Cricetulus griseus: one gene and its partners. The protein of the gene in region 2 interacts with the protein of the main gene of each other region in a pairwise test. Links are inferred from orthologs where the notes say so. Each region holds a gene or a part of one and is shown on either strand. Other genes may lie near its edges. The genes, in order: Rbm15, Nav2 and Ing5.

Region 1 (7,274 bases), on a different chromosome or scaffold from region 2:
AATGCCACTACTCTGGTTTAAATATGAAGATAAAATATGAAGGAATTTTCTTCAAATATATCAAGGGCATTTTACAATAACCTTAAAAAAAATCTGTAATTCAGATGTTTGATTAATGACCATGGGAGTGGGGGGGGAGTTACTTATAAGCCTGCAGACAGCTGTTCTTTCTATTACTGGAATCAGAAATTTCTTAAATGGATACAAAAAACTTAATTTTTGGTTTTGAAGTATACACAATTAAAACTGTATTTGCTGTACCCCTCAAAGTCAATAAAAACACCACTGTGCACCTAACTTACCAAAAACTTCTCATTTTAAAAGCACTTACTCATTTCTTGCAGACCAGCTAAAGATGTAAATGGTTTATAACACAAGCCTCAATTTTTACCAATTACAGCTACATACACAGGATACAAAACTCAAAAACTAATGACATAAATGTTAAAGCAAGCAAACTTTCTGGGAATAAGAAAAATACTCAAATACCTGATTAAAATAATTGAACTTTGGAATACCTGATTAATGCTTCTAGTATAGAAACTATCTATGCACCAATCACACTATTTTTTCAGTACAAAAGGCTCTTTCCTCCAAATTATGATTCTAAAAGTTGTAGGTTTTATCATTTTGAGGATTTTTTTTTAAACTCAAGAGACTGAAAAAAAAAATACCAGAAGAAAAAGAAAAGTAATTCCTAATTAAAGCAAATCCATCCTCTTGCTACCTTCAGGGCATCCCTTTCACTTAAAATAATAGCTAAATCGCCCCAATATCTATTTTAAGGAGGTTTACAAAAATATATATATAAAAAAACCAACTAAACTAATTGAAAGAAATTTATCTGATGCTGTATCCCATTACATATCACAAAACAAGGAACCATGTCAAAATAGTAAATACAAGTTACACATGGACTTTAGGACGCACCACGAACAATGATCATGACCAGGTAATCTTCTTCAGATTTGGCCAGTGCCTTGGCAGGGGAATCCAGGAACTGCTGAGAGAACTCACAAGGTGGGAAGGCATGAAGAACCCCTGTGTTCTCCTTGTCTTTGTTGCCCCCCACAGGGAGGCTGATCACCCCAGCTGCCTGCTTTTGCTTTAAATAGGACACAAGGTTCCTAAGTGGCCTCTGTGTAGAGGTGGCAGTGTCTGATGTAGCTGACGAAGAGGAGGATCGGCTGTCAGAACTTCCAGGTACAGCCAGAAGTATGGCATAACCATTGGGCCCTGCCACTTTGATGCGACGAGTTACTTCATCCAACTTGGGCTGGTCCAAACGGAGACGCTGAGTGATCTTGAGCTGGGCTACTTTGCCTCCAGTTGAACCCTCCACAAGTAGACTGCTAGCAACTTGGAGGTCACCCTGCAATAGATGCATGTTGGAAGGGAAGTTGCTGTTCTTCAGTAGAAGCATGCCCTGCCAAGCCAAACAGAGTTTGGGAGAGGATGCTGCCACAGGAGCTGTCCCTCCATCCTGTTTCTGGGAAGGAGCTTTCTGCTTTGATGATGACGCGCTGGCACTGGGTGCATTGCCATCAGAACGTTCTTCCTTTTTCAGAGGGTTTTTTCCCTCTGTGGGAGCAGCTGTCCGGTGCTTCCTATCCCGTTCAGCTGATGCAGAGTTTTTACGGTCTCGCTTGTCACTCTGGCTCTTCTCCAAACTGCCCCGTCTATCTCTGATTGGAGAGGGCCTTTCCAAAAGAAGACGAGAAGATCGATCGTTGTCACTGTTGTAGCGATCTCTGTTACTGCTCAGTTCTGGACTTCGGTCAGGAGAAGGAGTGCAATGACGTTTTCGTGGCCGGTCACTCTCAGGTGATCTATCCAGATGCCGTCCTCCACTTTCTTCAGGCAGCCTTCTCTTCCTTGGCTGGTCCCTGCTGCTAGGCAAATCCCGATCACCTCTGTCCCTGTCCAATGACCAGCCATCCCTCCTTCGATCCAAGCTATCCAGTGGCTCATAAGCAGTCACAGCACTAGCTGCAGCACGAGCACTGCGTTCTCGAACTGGTGGTGGGGGTGGCACCCAATCAGAATCAGTATAAAGGTCCCGATCACGATCTCTGTATAGTAAGGGTGGCGTCCTATCCCGAGCACTCCTCAAAGGGTCAGGCGCTCGATGCCCAAAAGTATCTGTCACTAGTTCATAATGAGTCAAGGGCAGAGGCTGAAGATACTGCTGCTGGTAACGATGCTCTGTGTCTGCAAAGTCTACTCTAAGGCGACGATCTGGGCCACCGAGTGGGAATCCACGCATATGGGTCCAGGCAGCATGAGCTGCATCCAAGCTTTCATACTGTATATATGCCCAACTATCACCTTTTCGGTAGTCAATGGTTCGTATGGTGCCAAATCGATCAAATTCTCGTGCCAGGGCAGCAAGAGGCACCCAAGGTCCCAGGCCACCCACCCAAAGTCGGGTGGTGGGTGTGGCTTTACCATAACCAATCTTGATTGGATTCCGAATTATAATTTTGCCAGACATTGCTAGTTTGGCCCTGTGAGACATGTCTAGGTTCTCAAATTTGAGAAAACCATAGGTACTGGTCTGTCCACGAGAAGGCCTCTTAATGTCCACTTCTGTGATGACTCCGAAACGATCAAAAGCCCTTCTTAGATCATTTTCTGTCACAGTGATGTCTAAGTTGCCCAAGAAAAGTGTCCGGTTAGCACGCTGATCATCCTCGGGCGAGATCTCATCCACTTCTCGGAAAGGAGCAGCACCTGCTCCAGCTCCCACCCTTGGCTCAAGACTATAAGCTGGGCGCACTCGGTCATAGAACGGGTAGTCTCGTTCTCTTTCCAGCTCTCGGGGCAATGGTGGTGGGGGTGGAGGCGGCAGGCGGCCAAGAGCCAACTGCTGCAACCGGTAGTCTCTGTATCCCAAAGCAGCACCGCCAGGGGAAAGTGATCTCTGACCTCCACCTCCTCCAGGGGCGTGCCTGTGGCTACCGACAGAGGTTCCGACCACGCTGGACGACGGAGGGTAAGTATCTTTGTCTAACGGGGAGCGGCTGCGGCGCCGGCTCACGTACACGGCTTCTATCTTCAGAGGCCGGTCATAGAGCACCAGGCGGCCTCTGGCATGCTTGGCCGCCCTCGCGTCCTCTGGCCTCCGGAAGTTCACAAAGGCTACCCGCTCATCCCCGCTGCCAGAACCCGAGAGGTGACTGATCTTGACACTTACATCACCGAAGCGTTTGAACTCGTGAAACAGGCCGTCCTCCACCGCCTCGTCGCTCAGCTGGGACCCCAACTCGCTTATCTTCAGGGTCTTGTACTCCACTCCGTCCCCGCCGCCAGGCGCTGAGGAGGCGGCCCCAGAGGAACGTGACTCCCCGCCTCCACCCCGGGAGCTGCTGCGCGACTCGCCCCCGCCTGAGGAATTTTTGGTGCTCGGGGAGCTGTAACTATGCAGGCGGCTGCTGGAGCTGCCCCCACCGGTGTCATACTCGCGGCTGCCACCTCGGCTGCTGGACTTATCCAGGTGAAGGCTCCGCCGCGACCCGCCGCTGTCCGTCTTCCCGCTGCTGCTCCCATTGCTGCCGCCAGAGCCCCCTAACTTCTTGCTCCGCTCCCCACGAGAACTGGAGTCCTCACCGCCGCGGGAGCGTTTGGGCTTCACCGGCGAGCGCTCCTTTCCTTTCATTGTTGAGGGTCGCCGGAGGTCGTCTCTGCGGAGCTGACTAACCCGCCACCCCGCGCTCGTTTCACACAGCGGACTCGCACGCCGCCATCTTGGACTCCGCCGCGGCAAAGGCTCCCGCCCCGCAGACCTCATTGGTCAATTAATTCACTCTTCAGCCTTCTCATTGGAAAAACTATTTGTCCGTCTTTACATCTCCCCGCGCTCCGGGAAGGCGCCCGCCTCGACGCTGTTATTGGGTTCCCAACGCCCTAATCCGCGTACCTCATTGGTTATATTCGTTGTCTATCTTAACGGTTCCTCGCGCCAGCCGTAGCTCCGCCCCTCGCACTTCACGGTCACCTGACCCGAAGCCTCGAGTCGTTGATTGGACAAAAAGTCTGCCCTGTAACGGTACTTCTAGCACGGCGAAAGCAGTGGTCCCACCTCCTCTTTCCTCTCATTGGTCCGTGGCCACGTCCTTTAAACCACTCCTTGGGAAGTACGGACTTCGGTTCTGGCGTTTTTTTCTGAAAACTTGGCTCTCCCGATCTCGCGAGACACAAAGAGCTCGCTCGCCCGCTCGCTCCCTTTCGACCCCAGTCTTCCAACTTCTCCGGCGGCCGGAGGAAGTTTAAATCTGATTGGACGTTGGCGAGGAAGCTGATAGGGTAACAGCGCTGTCCATCACTTACTTAAAGGAGTAGGCCCACAAACCGAGGCGTCTGAAGGTGAAAGACTAGAACACGCGCTTGCCGTGCGACGTCACTTAGCTGTCGCGAGACGGTGACAGCGAGTCGGGCCCGCCTCCCCGCGCTTTCGGCGTTCTCTTAAACATTTGTTAGGTCCTACGGCGTACTTGGCTGTGCTTCGGTCCTTCGAGTCTGGAACCCGCAGGCTCCGCACGGTCGGTGCTGTCTGGGCCGGACAGTGGGCCGGGTGGTCCCTCCGGCTGCTGGCCCTCGATCCCCTTAGGCAGCTGTCCCGGGAAGTCCAGCCGACACCATCTTAGTTAGCAGCCTGGAAAAGCCCCACCCCCGTGCGCGAGAAAGCGCCTGCCCGGGTCTGTGCAGCTGGCCGGGGCGGCGAGTTCAGGGTTCACTGAGCCTCGGGTCACGCTGACGCCCTGGGCGGTACCGAGTCTCTGCCCGCCCACCCGCGGACATAGGAAACGGCGCCCCGGAGACGTGGCCGCCCCAGGGCTCGCGGTGACCTGTGTTCACAGCCTCCAGGCCTACTGGTCCGACCTGCGGGCCACTGCAGACCTTCCCTGGCGCCTGTTTTAGGTTGTGAATCCCTGTAGGGTTTGCATTTGTAAAAGCCATGGAACGTGATATCGCTGTGCTTACCTTTAATATGTAACGCTTCTCGCTGTGCGGACACTTGACACTTTCTCTGGTTTCTTGTGCCGCAGCACTCCCGATTAATTCCTACTAGGATCCAGGAACACGGGCACTTTGCTACCTCCCTAGGCCCACCTCTTTAAGTCTTTTAATCATGATCCACTTCTCAACTCCCGGTACACCATCCAGGTACCTTTATTGTGTGTTGGGTAAATTTGTGCAATACTGTTGGATCATGAGACTAGACGGGTAGTCTGTTGCACTGGCATTTGCCTTCTGGTGAAGAGAAATAGGCTTCCTGCAGTCTCCCCAAGAACATTCCGGCCAAAATTTCTTGATCACATCAAAGGGATTTGAAAGAAGAAGCCCAATCAATATGTTAACTATAAACCTCCAAATACTGTAATGCACAGATATACTTGTATTAAAAATAACTCTTGTGGGGCATTGTGGAATAGCTGTAATCCCAGCTCATTAGCCTGAAAACCTCAAAACCACTCACACACAAAAGAAGTCTGGAGACTTGGGCACCATGTATGAAGCTCTAGATTCAAGCCCCAGTACTTGGGGGAAAAAATGGGTTTTAAAGTCTTATTTTTTTCCAGGCAAGGTGGCTCATACCTTTAACCCCAGCACTCAGGAGGTAGAGGCAGATGGATGGGTCTCTCTGTTGAAGGCCACCTTATCTACAAAGCGAGTTCCAGCTAGGGCTGTTACACAGAGAAACCCTCCCTTCTCAGAAAAACAGAAAAAAAACAAAATGACAACAACAAAAGACTATTTTTTTTAGCAGGACATGATGTACTCATTTAATCCCAGCACTTGAAAGGCAGGCACAGGAAGATGTCTGTGAGTTCAAGGCCAGTTTAGTCTACATAGTGAGTTCTAGATCAACTAGGACTATATATTGAGACCACACACGTGCGTGCTTGTATGTATGTGTGTGTTTGCATGTATGCTAGTATTCTGGTGTCCAGAGAAGCGAAAAGAGAGTGACAGATCCCCGGAAGATCCCAGAATTGTGAGTCAACCTGAGCCCTGGGGAACAAACTGCAAGTAATTTTAAAACAGCAAGTAATTTTAACCCCTGGGCCATCTCTCCAGGCCGGCAAAAATAATTTTTTAAAAGGCTGTTAACATAAAATACCACCAGTCAGAGAAAAATGTGTATGATAAACTACCAATTGTGTTTTTTAACATTGTATGTGTATCATATACATATGCTTGTATTTTTTTTTCTTTTTGGTTTTTCCAGACAGGGTTTCTCTGTGTAGCTTTGGAGCCTATCCTGGCGCACTTGCTCTGGAGACCAGGCTGGCCTCGAACTCACAGAGATCCACCTGCCTCTGCCTCTCGAGTGCTGGGAATTAAAGGCGTGCGCCACCAATGCCCGGCTATATGCTTGTATTTTTAATTGATAGTTACAGAGATTGCTCTCAGAGACAGAGCTGAGGATCTGGAATTAGCAAGGGACTTTTGATATTATAAATGAAAATTTTCCTTGTATAATTTTGGTTTAAAAATATACAGTAGTGTTAGATCCCCGGAAAACTCAGGTATCCGGGGCTTCGGTCACCCCAATCACCAGGCAGATCCGAGAGCATGCTGCAAACTGCATGAGGCTTTATTGTAATTTAATGAGCTAACCCCATGTTAGCTGGGGTCTTTTACCCACCCGCCATGGCGGATGGCTAGAAAAAGACAGCTCGGCTTGCCCTGTGTTGATTGGTCAACTGGTTGTTATGGCCCATAGGCCCTCCCAGGGTGGTTGCTATGCTTTGTGGGTCATTGCTGTGCACTTGTCCGTAAAGCACACACGCAGGGTCGTAAAGCATAGCGCCACCAGCTAACTTCTGATTGATTCCTTGTCACAAGGAAGGCATCTGACCTCTAAGTGACCAAGGCAAGTTATGGCAAGCATATATTCGGCTGTTATGGCTGCCGAAAGGGAAGCTAGTCCCTTCAGTAGTAGAATATATTTTGAAGACCATCCTATCTGCTGAGCACACAGTCTCAACAATTGTAAGATCATGTCAATCGTTTTCTTTAAATCTACAATCCTATTCCTATTCTTCCCTGCTCCATTATTTTGTTCCATGCATACTTGATACAGTTTCTGCCTCAGATGTAGAATCCATCATTCCTACATAATGAAAAAGCTTTTCAGAGGTGTGCTAATCTATCTCAAGATTATATGCATACTACAAAAAGGGAATTGAAGTTAAGCCTTTGCCTGATTACTGTAATAGCCAATCCAGAAAAACTGAGAAGTGACTTTTTTTTTTTTGGCTTTTTTT
Region 2 (7,331 bases):
GTGCCATCTATGGTCTGATAACTCAAGGTCTATAATTGGCCAGCAGCTGCTGTGGCTCTCCCTGTCCAGCAACACAGTTAAGGGGCTTGAGTTCTAATGCTACTAACTCTGCTGCTCCCGAGACCATTTAACCTTGATTTATCATATGTATAAAATGGGATGATTATCCTTATCGAATAAGAGGGTTTTTTTTTTTTTTTTTTTTTTTTTCGAGACAGGGTTTCTCCGTGTAGCTTTGGAGCCTATCCTGGCACTCACTCTGGAGACCAGGCTGGCCTCGAACTCACAGACATCCGCCTGCCTCTGCCTCCCGAGTGCTGGGATTAAAGGCATGAGCCACCAATGCCCAGTGCATAAGGAGTTTTGTATTCAAAACAATTCAGAACAATTCCTGGCACCTAGGAAGTACAAGGCAAGGGTGCCTTCTTTACTTTCTTGATATCTTAGGACATGGCCAAAGCACCACACCTACTCTAAGTGTTCCTGTGAAGACCAGTGAGATCCTATGGAAAGAGCCTAACACACATCAGGCATTCCACAGGTCAATCCCTCCCCCTCCCCCCATCCTCCCACAGAGCCTGGAACTGTGCCAGGCAGAGCCAGAGGCCTGTAAACACTTGTGAACAGTTTGGAATACAAAATTTTTCTTAATACTCACAATTCCTGTGGCTGCTTGTACCCATTTTTACAAATGAAAGCACTGAGGCCCAGGGGAGTAGTTAAAGGACTGGGCCACTTGGCCAGCATGTCATGTTAGATAGAAGGCAGCACTGATAGCCAATGCTTTAAAACCTGTGCTGTTAGTCACTAAACAACCAAGCCAGTCTTCTGCCAAAAATCCCCCAACCAACGGCTCCAAGATATCATTTGTCACTGAGTTTATCATTTCCTGAGTGTCTTCTAATGATAAACATTAAGTTTGGGACCAGGAAATTACCAGGTGCCAAGTCAGTCAAGGTCCTCAAGCCATAATCGAGGGACTTTTCTGGAAGGTGAATGAGCAATGTCTGTCACCATGGGGATACCCTGTTCAAAGATGGTGAAATCCTTTTGCCAAAGCCCCTTTGATGTCAGGGTGGGGCTATGAGTGCCTGTTACATAGAAGAGCCCCTAGGAGACCCAGGGGCTGGCAAGGGGGGAAGCAGGACTGTTTGTTGGAAGGTGGCCAGTTTCCTGGGCCATCTATCCAAATCACCCTCATGATGCAGAGGACCCATGGAGAGTAAGAGGGATGAAATGTGGGGTGGTGCGGGCAGGGCCTCCAGGGAATAGCGCCAAATTAGCCCCTCATGGAGAAATCTAGGAGTAATTTTTTTAAATGGTGAATCACCTTCCCAGAGCCTGCCCACCGCAATCCTCTGCCAATGTTTGTTAAATGAAGGGTCAAATGGGCAATAGCAGGCAGCAGTCTGGCTTTGAATGAGCCAACATCTGCCTTTCCGTTCATTCCTAGGGTCCTCCTCATCAGGCTCCAGGGCATGTGTCACATTCTCAGTCACTGTTCCAAAATCCCACCCACTCCACCCCCACAGATGAAGGAGGCACCCCAGTGCTCACCCTCACTTTAGAGCCCTCTGGACAAGTCCTGTAGCCATAAGAAAAAGAGCAGAGCACACAGCCTAGCAGAGCCAGGGCCCAGGAGCACTGAAGGAAATCTTGCCTCCCTCCCACACACCATCAGTCAAAGCTGTCAGCTTCCAAAAATGTTTAGCAAGTGCGGCATCAAGAGGGACATGATGATGGGCCGGGTGTGGGAGCCTGTGTGGGGAGGGCCTTTTCTGGCCCTGAGTTCCAACAGTCTGTCTCCAACCAGCTTCTAGCTCCAGTCCTCCATCAGAAAGCAAGGAATGTGTTGAGTGTTAACCGCCGATCAGAGAAAGCTACAGAAGGTAGTCTCTGTGAGCAGAGTAGTAGGTGCTCTAAAGGTCAGCTTGTCTGTGGCTACTTCTCCCATACCAACCCCAAATTGCCTCCCTCTCTGGCTTCCCGAAGCCTCTCCTCTCCTGACTGGGACAGTCACATCCGTCAGGTCGGCCTGTCCCTAAAAAGTCCCTGCTGACTGGCAGCCAAGAAAATACAGCATGCCCCTGCTCCCTCCTGCCAGAAGAGGAGGAAGGCAGAAGTCCAAGAGAAACTGATTGGCCCTTAAGGATTTCCTTAAAAGAGATTGCATGGCCAAGGCCTGTCACCCAGCCCAGTGGAGGGTGGGTGGGGGTGGTGCCTGCTCTGCCCGGAAAGGTAGAAGTCACCGTTTCTCTTCCAGGCATTCTCTCACCCACACCAACATCTCCCTAATCACCAGAGCCACCAACACTGACAGCATAAGGAGGGGCTCAGCTTGGGCAGCCATTCTGAGACAACCAAGCCACCCCTACGGCAACAGCAAGATGCTCCAGCAAGCTAGCAGTCAGCAGCACCTGGTCAGAATCCCTTCTCCCTAAAGATGGGACAGGGACAGGAGCAAGCCATCTTCAAGCTAGGAGGAGGGCAGGTTCAGAGCAACCACCCAGCATCCCTTGTCCTGGATCTCATAGCTGGGCCAGGTAGTATCCAATCCAAAGAGGCACCAGACCATTCCTTCAACGGGTTACAACCCAAGGCACTGACATAGACACACATCCCAGCACAGACACGGCTTCCTTGGGGTCAAGTACTCAGCATTCAGGTCCTAACATTTCCAATGTCAGCGTGCGCTTTTTGATACCACCTCTACACCTGCTCCAACCCCAAAGAAACAGCAGGCTACCAGCACCCCTCAGCTTTGTGGAGCTCCTTGGGCGAACCTCTGGCACTCTGGCCACACCCACCTTCCAATCTGCCAGCTAAAAGGGTATGCTTCCTCTCTCCAAGTACATTATAGTAGCCTCTCCAGGCATCCGTGTCTCTCCCCCAGGAAAAATCACCCATCACCACCACAACCCCAACAGTGCCCCCACCACCACCCCAGCACACAGCACTGCTCACCTGGGTATCGAACCCGTTCTCCAGAGAGCTGCTTTTCCGCAACGGGAGCCCCTCCCCCGTTGGCTCCTGCAGCCCCTGCGATTTCAGGGGGATCTGGCTAGTGTAGGCCGTCTTGCTCACCTCCACCTTGCTTCCCAACTTAAGGTAGCAGGGCTGGGGACCAGTCCGGGCCGGGGGCACGTGCAGGATGGGCGCGGCGCTGTGCACCGGTTTGGGCAGTCCCGACTTCATTTTGGAGGCTACCAGGATGGCCGGCATCTTCTCCCGGGGCTTCGGCTTTCCCAGCACGTCCCTGGCAGCGGCTGCGGAGGCGACCGCTAAAGGCAGCGCGGGCAGCCGAGCAGGCGCCGGGCTTCGGCCCGCGAGGCGCCCACCAACAGTGGAGGAAAAAAATAAAAAAACAAAATCCCCGGGCTGGGGAGCTGGGGAAATCCTGCGAGCGCGCCTGCGGGGTGGCGGGCTGGTCACTGCCCTCAGCAGGTCCCACCTGTGCGGATGTCGCAGCGGGCGGCCTGTTCAGAAGCTCAGGGACTACCGCCTCTGGCAATTCTTCTCCTGGGAAACCGAGGCGTGGACGCCCATATTAACTTGTCATCGCGTCTCCGAAGTGTGGAGGCTCCTTAGGAAAAGACATAGGCTAGGGACGCACACGTCGCGCTCCGGAGGCTGCGGGTGTGAACAGCGGAGTAAATGAACGGAGGATGGGGAAACGGAGGGCGCACGGAGCACAGGAGGTCTCAACCGCAAGGTGGCTGTCACCCTGCCAGCACGCCGCAGTGTCATCCGCGCCGAAGCGGACGCGGGCGATCTCCCTAGAAAGGTCTTGTCTGGGCGTGACAGCCGATCACCGCTGCTCATAAGCCCCTGGAACACGCAGCACCTGAGCGGATCTGCCCATGTTCCGTGTGCTCGAGAGGAGCACGGCGGTGGCGGCAGAGCGCGGGCACCGGGTCGCGCAGCTGGCCGGGCTGGTAGCGCTGCGCTGAGCTGAGCTCCGGGGAAGGCAGCGCGGGCTGCAGGGCTGGACGCAGGGGAGGATCGGCTGCGGCGCGCGCTGACAGCCCGGGCCGTTCCCGCGCGCCCATTGGTTCGAGGCGGACCAATCCTCGGTCGCGACTCGCACTGCAAGGGGGCGTGGCCTCAACTCACGGGGCCGCCGCCGAAACTCTGGGGCCGCGCTTGGCCGCAAGTACAAAGCGAGCTGGTGGCCGCTCTGCGGCACGGCCCCGGCGCGCGCCTCCCTGCGGGTCGCCACCCCCGCGTCCCCGGAGCCGCCCGCAAACGCCGTTGGAACACTGATTCCCGCCTTTCTCCGTCCCCCCCACCCCCGCCCGGCATTTGTCAGGGGAAATCGGTTTCCCTTTTTCAAAATGGCTTGGGTCATCTCAACGGTTTGTGGGTTCCGGAGGCACGCCCCAGCCTCCCTGCACCTCCATCGGGATTGACTGAGCAGGTCTCCTTGTCTACTGCCTGAAGGACACTCCAGTCATTTCTCCTTTCCGGGCGGCCCCAGGGGCCTCCCAACAGCTTCCTCTGGGACATTCAAAGGTTGCACATTGCACTTAAGTATTTGAAGTATTTATAGGCTGATACAATGGCCGGGGAAGCTTCGCGCCCAAGACAGCTCCTCCCGTCACCTACCACAGACTGTAATTACAGTGCCTTGGTGACCTGGGCAGACTGAGGCCAAACCTGCCCCGGTTGCATCGTTTCATACAGGCCTGCCTGCCTGGCTGCTCCTGGGACGTGCCAAGACCACAGGTTCCTCCACTTGGAATCGCTGGAGGATCCCTTCCTCTCCGACACAGAATCTGAGAGCTGAAGGGAAAATAGATAGATGGTCCTGGGCTGATCGTGGAGGAGGCCTACTTGGAGAACGGTTTGTATTTGAATTCAAATTCGGAACTTTACCCACTCTCAGTCTTTCTAAAACTGTGGCTGTCTCATGCAGTCAAGTTTGAGTACATTTCCCTAAAAGCACTGCTCCAGCTAAATGAGATAGTGTCTGCCAGTGTAGGGGACCAGAAAAGGCTGTGTCTTTGTTATTAATATGCCAGGGTGTGCCAGTTATTAATATGCCAGTATTCCTACCCTACAGCCTGTTCTACAACTTCCATAGAGTTAATTTTCAGTCTTCCTAATGTTATTGACTGTATCCCTGGCAAAACTCTAACATGGCTGGGAAAAGTAGTGACAGCCTGTAATTTTGGCTGCTGCAGAGGCTGAGGCAGGAGAATCCCAAATTCAGGGCAATTTAATGAGACTCTTGTGTCCAAATAAAAGTAAAAAAAGGGTTGGAGAGGTAGCTTGGTGGTAGACATCTTGCTTGCTTGCTTAGTATATACATGTGCCCAGTACTGGAAAACACCCTAATTGTCAACTTGTATCAGGCAGTGAGTGGAGCCTTTGGGAGGTAATGAGTACATGACCAAGGAATCCTCACAATGGGATCAATGCTCATATTACAGGAGGAGATGGGATGAAGACAGATGATTGCTTTCTGATAATGAAATGGCAGCTTTTCCCAATCCTCAGAAACATCTCCTGACAAGAATTTGACCTTGGCTACAGCCTGGCCTCAGACCTCCAGCCTCTAGGCCTAGGAGAGATAGATGTTTGTCATTTAAGCTGTACTGTCTACATCATTTTCCTATAGTAGATTCAACTAAGACCCCAGACCAAAGCAAAAGTTGAGTTTTAAAACTGCCCTTGGAGAGTGGAGAGGTGAGATGGTACTCTCCACCCCCACCCATTCTGTTTGCAGGGACTTTTTACCCGAGCTAGAGGGAAATGCACATAGCCTGTGTTAGCTCTAAGTCCTGCTCTCTGAAATGAAATCACAAGTGGTCCCTGACCCGGTGCACTCTGGCCTTGCCCATCTGAATGGCCTCCTATGCTAGTGTCTTGTTTATTTAATTTATTTAGTGTTTCATGTGCTCTCTTTGAAAGGAATAAATGTTTTGAAGAACCATATTTTGACCTTCATGAGATTCTGTCAGAACTGAGCAGAATGCTATGGACTGAAGCTACCCAGATTGTTACTGAATGAATGCATGGTGAGATTGCCTTTTAGTAGGAGCATATCAAAATGAAAAGGGCTTATACTACATTCCCCCTTGAACACTAGTTCTCCCAGCTGTATGAAGAATTGTAGAAGATATTGCCATCATCCACTGTTAAGGATGGTGGAACTATCCCCAAATATCCTCAGAGCTCAGATGCAGTGAGTGTCCAAAGTCTGGTCCCCAGAGCAACAACAGAAAAACCTATTAATTTGACACACTCCATCTGTCCCATCCCATCCTATTGAACACTCCCAGAGGGTAAGGAGTCAGGGGTAGGTAATCTGTGTTTTTAACAAATTTTGATGCATACTAAAGCTGAGAATTCTAGCCAGGTGAAGTGTGTATTCAGTGAACTTCCGGGCCCGCTAAGCCTTCATATGCACAAGAATCACAGATTCAAATTCAGCAGGTCTCCAAGAGGCTAAGATTCGGTCTTCCAAATAAACTCCCAGGTGATGGATGCCCCTGCTGGGAGTCTGTAAGATTAAGCCACTGGCAACAGGGGTGTAACAGCTCAAGGCCCAGCCTAAGTTAAGTGGCTTTAGTAACATGGTTCTGAAGAGTCTCGGTGCATCCAGCTGGCAAGAGACAGGAATACCAGTCATTGGTAAAGTGCCACCACAATGTGTATTTACCAATTAAAAAAAATTCCCAGTTAAATCAAAATTGCCACCAAAGCAATTGGGGGGGCGGGGAGGATTCTAAGACTGTCAAATATATACAAATATAAAAAATAGTACATTTTTTGCTTTGAATTAAAAGCACTTGTAGGCTAGGTTCTCACTCAAGAGGTAAAATGCCCTGCAAGCCCAAGGACCTAAGTTTCTTCTTGTTTTTTTTTTTTTTTAAATTGTGTGTGTGTGTGTGTGTGTGTGTGTGTGTGTGTGTGTGTGTGTGTGTGTGTGTGTGTGTGTTTAAACCTCTGCCCTCCACAACCACACACAGACACATACATCTGCCCACACTTGTGCACATGCACACTCCAAACCACTCACAATGTTATCATTTGGTAAACAAAGACACACTATTCACCTTAACTGCAGGGTATAAGACTGAAGTCTGATGAGGTCTCAGATAAATGAAGGCACACACATCTTCCTGTAAGCTTCCAAATGTCTTTCTCTGCATCCTCATCCCTTTAATAATTTTAGTTGCTCTTTCTCACACAGTTTCATCTCCACTTTTTCTCTTCTTTGTTTTTCTTACCTAAAATAAAATGTCATTCAAACTAGACAGTGGAGGAAAATAGCAAACGGGAGGCAAATGAGCCAGACTATGGCCAATTACAAAAATATTCTGTAA
Region 3 (6,524 bases), on a different chromosome or scaffold from region 2:
AAACCCATGAACTCTTTTGTTTCCAAGCTATTTGCATCTTATTGGGGGAGGGGCATCATTATAACTGTCAAAAGAAGGGGGGAAAAGCAGATAGAGAAATTTGCAAAAATAAATAAGTCAAAAGTCACTATGTAGGATGGCCCCAGGTGGAAGTCAGGGAAGCCAGCATGACCTCAGGAAGCCAGAAAATGGAGTGTAGCCAGCCTCTAGCACCTCCACTAGGAAACGCTCCTCTGCCTCAGGCTGCATCTCAGGTATTACTCAGCTGCTAAGGCATTATCAGGCAAGATCTGATTTAAAACTTCTTGTGCTTACAGAAATTACAAGAGGTCCAGATATTACAGGTGGCACATGCCTATAATCCCAATATTTCATGGCTCAGGCAGGGTGACTGCTAGTTCAAAGCTAGTCTGAGCTACATAATTAGGCCCTGCCTCCAAATAAATTAAATTAAATTAAAGGATGCATGAGGCCTGACCCCTAGGACTGAAGGGGAAAAAAAGCACTCGGGAGGTAGAGACATGCAGATCTCTGTGAGTTCAAGGCCAGCCTGGACTACAGAGTGAGCTCTAGGGCAGCCAGGACTATACAGAGAAACCCTGTCTCAAAAAAGCAAAAAAAGAAAAAAAAAAAAAAGTTCTGGGTTTGGTCCCTAACATTGCAAAGCCAGACCTGTTAGTGCACATCTGTAACCTTAGCATTTGGGAGATGCAGGAAGGACGATCAAAAGATCAAAGTTATCTTCAGCTACACTGTGAGCTCAAAGCAAGCCTAGGATACATAAGACCTGGTCTTTAAAATAAAAAGGGAAAAGGGAAAAACAAAACAACAAAAAAAACCACCTGTAACTTATCCTCACAAAGCTTTAGAACAACAAAAGGCTAAGAAATGAAAATGTCTAGCTGATGGTGGTAGCGTATACCTTTAATTCCAGCACTCAGGAGGCAGAGGCAGACAAATCTCTGAGTTCAAGGCCAGCCTAGTCTACAGAACTAGTTCCAGGAGAGAAACCCTGTCTCCAAAAATCAAAAACCAAACAAAACAAAACAAAACCAAAAAATGAAAATGTCTATCACATCTAAGCCTGAGAGGTGGTCCTAAAGAAGAAAGCCAGCCCCTCAAACCCAGAGACCACAGGAACCGCATTTCCAAAGCTCCTCCTAGTCTGGAGACAAGCTTACACTGTTGCTTAGCACCTGCTGCCCAGGAAAGGTCAACATGGACCAACTTACTCAGTAGCACGAACACAAGCCATTCCTGTCTCTCTCTCTCTCTTGCTGGGACAGGCTGTGGAGGACACCCTGTCCAGTAGGAACATGACCGTGATGGCATGATGTGGAGCAGATACAACTTCCTCTGTTTTGTTTCCTTTCCTTGGATAAAGTGGGAGGGAAACCTATCTACTTAGACATGACCACCTTAAAATAATGTGCCTGTCTTCAGATAAAAAACTGGCGTCTCCTTAAATTGGAAATTGTGTAACCCAGCTCTGTTTTGTGGGTCGTTTTCTGGCGTGAGGCCAAGGACAGGCCTTCTTAGTTCTCAGAGAGCCTGAGACACTGGGAAACATACCAAAGTCAAAGGAAACCCTCATGACCCTGTCACACTTAAGGAGCCACCACAGGTACACCTCAACAGGCCCTGTGTATATGTCCCCGCCCCCCAAATATTTCCAAAAGACAGTTCAACACTGGTTTTGTGAACACTGGCTAAACAAAGAATAACTCTAGTTTCCTACCTTCATTCTAGAACTGCTATTGGGCACACAAATTCACAAATCATGTCACGTAATTGTAATCCCCCTGAATGTAGGCTTCCTGGTCTAGTGGGATGCAACACAGCAGAGTTCTAAAATCAGCTCACAGCAGACAGACTCACGTCGGAGACACACAGACCCATGACCTTCATGCTATTACAATAATTTCATCTTCACAGTAAAAAAAAAAGTCAGGAATTCCCAGAGAGGTGGAAGCTCAGCCTGGCTGTTTGTCCGCTGTTGGGCGGTGCTGGTTGTGATAAGGGACAGTCCAAGGCTAATGGAAGCTGACTCTCCAGGGAGGGCTGGAAGTTCACACTGAAAAGGCTGGGCATAATCAGAGAGCACTTCCACCTGGGAAGAGCTGCCAGTCCTTTCCAGACACATCAGAGGTATGTTGGCCAGGAGTCCCTGGGCTTCGGTCAGGGTCAGAGCATAACATGGGACAGCGCCTGATAACATTTTGCTCACAGAGCAACAGCTGTGCTTCCATGAGGCCACAAGACAGTCCTGGAAAACATGGACACTCAAGGCTGACCCTCAAGTCACAAAACAGTGGCAGTACACCAGGTTAAAACGTGTTCACCCTGCACCACGCACTTGGCCTACAGCCCCAAGTGACACTCACCACAGGTGGTGTTGCCTTTCCCAGTGCTGGGAGGTTGCAGGAGAGGGGAGCCTGCATGTAAAGTCACCGTGGCAAGTCCCTGTGAGATTGTTCTGTGCAAATGGTGCAGTGGCTTCTTATTTTGGGAAATATCCAAAATGACAACTGGCCACTGGATTTTTAAATATCAGTTGAAATAAGGTAGTTTTAAAATGAAAGATAATATTGCAACATGAGTGAAGAAATATATTAGCTTGCTCTTCAGTCTGGCACAACAGCCTCTGCTCTACTTCTTCTTCCTCTTCTCCTGAACACATCGTGGACAGAACCTGTGACAAGACAGACACGGGGTCAACCTTCTGCATCGTTTCTCCTGGCACACAGGACACCCAAGTATAGACTTCCTACATCCCCCAGGGAAGCCAGAGGACAGCGAGCGACAGCAAGTGGGAGGTGCCATCTTTCTGAGGAGAGCCGGCATTGGAGGCACTAACTTGTCCATGGCTGAAGTTGACTGGTAACAGCCCAGCACAGCCTTGTGATCAAGAAGGTAAGGCTGGTCAGAGATTGAGGTGCCCACCATGAATGGGACACCAAGGGCTGGTGGACTGAACATGCTGAGGACTCTGTGTAGACACAGCCTGAGACAGCTGCACTGGGCCTTGGAGCCTGTATAGGTCCCACAGGTCCGAGTGCTGCAGGTCAAGCACACATCAGAGCCTCAGGCAGTGTTCATGGACACTCAAGAACATGTCAGCCACTCATGATCCAAAGGGACAATCTAGTAAGGTCCCATGTGGGAGACGGTTCTTTGACACACATTATGGCTGACATTACTTCCCACCTGTGCTACAGTGACCATGTCAGTTAGACCTCCCTGTCCCTCTGAGGAAGCCCATGCTGGTAACCTACAGAGACACAAACTGGAACCCCACTCCCCAGTTCTTGTGTCTAGCCCTGGGCCTAGCTCTAAGGTTGATGTCACATCCCAACAGTTTTGCCAGTGCTGTCCCACTCCCTACCTGGGGATCCTGCAAACGATGCCCCATGTCCAACTTGAACTCAAAGGTAGATCCTGCTGCCTCATGAGCCTACTCTTTTCCCTTTCCTCATCCAAGTAATCACCATCCATCAGCAGCCCAGCCACACACCTGCTCTCACATGCCCACTGCCAGCGCAGCCCAGCCCACTTCCACAAGGCATAGGCACAGCCATGGCACCTGCCATATGGTTCTTTTATTTTATTTTATTTTATTTTATTTTGGCTTTTCAAGACAGGGTATTTCTGTGTAGCTTTAGAGCCTGTCCTGGAACTCACTTTTAGACCAGGCTGGCCTCTAACTCACAGAGATCCACCTGCCTCTGCCTCCTGAGTGCTGGGGTGAAAGGTGTGCGCCATCACCGCCCTGAGATATAAAACAAGGAGCCATGCACAGTAGGTATGCCCACTAAGGTGGGATTACATTCACACCACACACATCATAAGCGTACTGACCAAAGTCCTTGCAACACAGCATCCACCCCTCCTTTCCCAGGTGACTCTCAAACTGGCTACAGGCTGATGTTACCATGAGATGCTCCAAGTGTTCCTGCGAGGAAGGCCCAGTTCCTACTATTTCATTTTAAGAACATGCATCCATTCTTAACACAAGTCAACAAAACCAGGTTTTTATTCAAATAAAACCTTGGGAACATCTTGAATAGTAAGTAGCCTCCTGCTGACCGCATGCAGGATGGAAAAAGAATGCATAAGCCTATGCTGTGGTAGATGGAGACCCCTGGGAGGGAAAACACCCATTCTACAGGTACTTCGCGTGTTCTTCATAATTTTTCCCTGGAGATGAGCACTTCCTCTCCTCGTCTTCACTTAAAATAACCTCTACCCAACATGAGCCCGAGGGTGAAGGGGACAAGTTCAGTGATAGAGTTCTGGCCTGGCACACTGGACACACACTGGGGTGGAGGTATGGAGGGAACCCTTCTTTAAAGGGCTGTAGTGTAAATACTATATACACCCAGGTAAGCTGAGCAGTAGATCGATCTCTCTCTCTCTCTCTCTCTCTCTCTCTCTCTCTCTCTCTCTCTGTAAATTTGCTGCCGCCACCGCCACCCCTCCCCAGACAGGACCAATGCTGAAGAAGTATGGAGACATACAACAAGACCCAGAGCACCAGACAGGCTTGCCCAAGGCTGCAGTCACCCCCATACTAACCACTTTCCTTTGGGCTTTGTGGTGAGATCCACGCAGGCAAAGTGAAACCACTCAATTGGACACTGCAAAGCAAGGGGGAAAGTCTGGTCACACCCGTGCACTCTGTTTGTTAGACACAGAGAGCCTCCCACCTGCCCGGATCTACAAGGTGTGTCCCATTATCCTTTGAGATCCACTCACGTCTGGATTGTCACAGCCAATCATCTCCCCGTAGGACACCTGGTGGCACAGGCAGTATGTAGGCTCATTCGGATCCACAGGCATGTCCAGCACGTCAGAGGGGTGCACAGAGAGGATGCTGTCAGTAAACTCAGACCTGAAGAGAGAAAGGCTCTGCTGACAACAGGGCACCAGAGGGAAGGCAGCAGACTCGTGAGGCCACACTGCAGCCCTCCCACCAATGGCCAGGGCGCCTCTACCCTGGAACCAAAGATGCGTGCAGGCTCCTCTAAGGAAGCAATCTACAATGTCTCTGGATTAATGATCACCCATAAACTTGCTTCCACTTTTCTTGTTACTGGGGCCCGGGAACAGTCCTAACACCCATCACTGGGATTCATCCGCAAGGATAACCTCAAAACCTTCCAGCCAAATCTCTCCTGAGAATTTATAGTGAGGACGATATGGCGTGCTCATTATCAGTTGAATAGAGTCCCTTGAACTAATACCAGCCACAAACCTAGGGGCAGCAGCAAACAGCAAACAGAAATCACACTACCCTCATATCAGCAAAGGCTCCAGAGGCAGGCAGTGGGGTCTGGAATTGCTAACAGCACTCACTAGCAACTAAATCCAACACCAGCCATTGCTGTCTACTGGGGACAAAGACCCCTCCCACAGAACAAGGCTGCTGCTTTCCCTGGACTTCCCTTGTGTGTCAGCTGCCACCTCCTGAGGGACAAGAACAGCCCTACCCCACCCCCGCCGGCAGATAGCTAATATCTGAGGAATCATCTGTGTCTTACCCTAGGCTGACCTAAGGGTGGAGGCACTCACCAGCTCTGATGGAGCCAATGGACTGACAGCCCTCCTCCCCTGACAAGGGTCAGTGCATCCTCGGCACCTACCCCAAACCACACACTGGCAGCCCCTCCTAGCCTTCTGTGAGTTCCAAGTATCCACCCATCAACCTCACCCAGCTGCCCAGCAGGCTAACAAGAGCCAGCTTGGTACACACTACCCTGCTCACTCCCCAGTGCCCGAAGCTGCCCCTGGGCTCTGAACAGCAGCCTGGCAAGAATCCTACTCCTTCACCTTCCCCCGTAACTGCTGCCAGCACAGCACTGCCCCACCCTTTACTGTAGAGCAGAAAACTTAACTTATTCTTTACATGTATTTTTCCGTGTACACTGTAGGGCAGTCTGGGCAGTATAATCCCTACATCTGTACTACCACTATCCATGCTCACCCCTGAACTAGGCATGTATAGTGACAAATAAATATGGCCATTTCCATGAGGGTTATGGCGAATACAAAGCATGACACAGCTGTAGACAGGAAGCAAGACACAGAAGCCTGGCTCCTAGCCTCTGAATTCCTGCGTGTCCCAGGTCATACAGTATATCTACATCCTAGCCCAGCACCTAGGAGGCTCTGCAACTGGGGCCTCTCCTCAGCAGGTAACCCATGCCTTCACAGAAATGCCACAAAAACACGTCTGAGTCCAAGCACTCTATAATATGGCTTTCAAGCGACCCCCAAGAGGTCCTTCAAGTGGGAAACTTAGACCCGGGACACTCTACCTCGACTCCTGGCCTCCGTGGTCTCTGTGTGGCCTACTGTCCATGGACACCATGCAGCCCCTCTGAGGCAGCAAGCCAAGCCCAGAAGTGTGCCTGCCTCTGCTGCTCAATTCTACCAGGTACACGGACCTTCCCCACAGGAAGATCCACCATCCAGCTATCATAGGGAGCCACAGCCATTCAGCTGACATGTGACCTGAAGCTTAA

Evidence for each region.
Region 1: the proteins of Nav2 (region 2) and Rbm15 interact in binary tests that used the Homo sapiens proteins (3 or more experiments, as listed by UniProt). The two-hybrid records come from large-scale screens. The link is inferred for Cricetulus griseus from reciprocal best matches to the Homo sapiens genes NAV2 and RBM15.
Region 3: the proteins of Nav2 (region 2) and Ing5 interact in binary tests that used the Homo sapiens proteins (3 or more experiments, as listed by UniProt). The two-hybrid records come from large-scale screens. The link is inferred for Cricetulus griseus from reciprocal best matches to the Homo sapiens genes NAV2 and ING5.

The regions. Positions count from the first base shown.
Region 1 is NW_023276806.1:49,811,268-49,818,541, reverse strand, and holds the start of Rbm15 (RNA-binding protein 15), read right to left. Parts: upstream 4,700-7,274; 5' UTR 3,791-4,699; coding exon 931-3,790; intron 1-930. UniProt on the Homo sapiens protein: RNA-binding protein that acts as a key regulator of N6-methyladenosine (m6A) methylation of RNAs, thereby regulating different processes, such as hematopoietic cell homeostasis, alternative splicing of mRNAs and X chromosome inactivation mediated by Xist RNA.
Region 2 is NC_048596.1:146,268,462-146,275,792, reverse strand, and holds the start of Nav2 (neuron navigator 2), read right to left. Parts: upstream 3,963-7,331; 5' UTR 3,223-3,962; coding exon 2,965-3,222; intron 1,490-2,964; exon of another isoform or gene 659-1,489; intron 1-658. UniProt on the Homo sapiens protein: Possesses 3' to 5' helicase activity and exonuclease activity. Involved in neuronal development, specifically in the development of different sensory organs.
Region 3 is NC_048595.1:445,246,593-445,253,116, reverse strand, and holds part of Ing5 (inhibitor of growth protein 5), read right to left. Parts: intron 4,892-6,524; coding exon 4,756-4,891; intron 4,638-4,755; coding exon 4,576-4,637; intron 2,693-4,575; coding exon 2,650-2,692; 3' UTR 1-2,649. UniProt on the Homo sapiens protein: Component of the HBO1 complex, which specifically mediates acetylation of histone H3 at 'Lys-14' (H3K14ac) and, to a lower extent, acetylation of histone H4. Component of the MOZ/MORF complex which has a histone H3 acetyltransferase activity.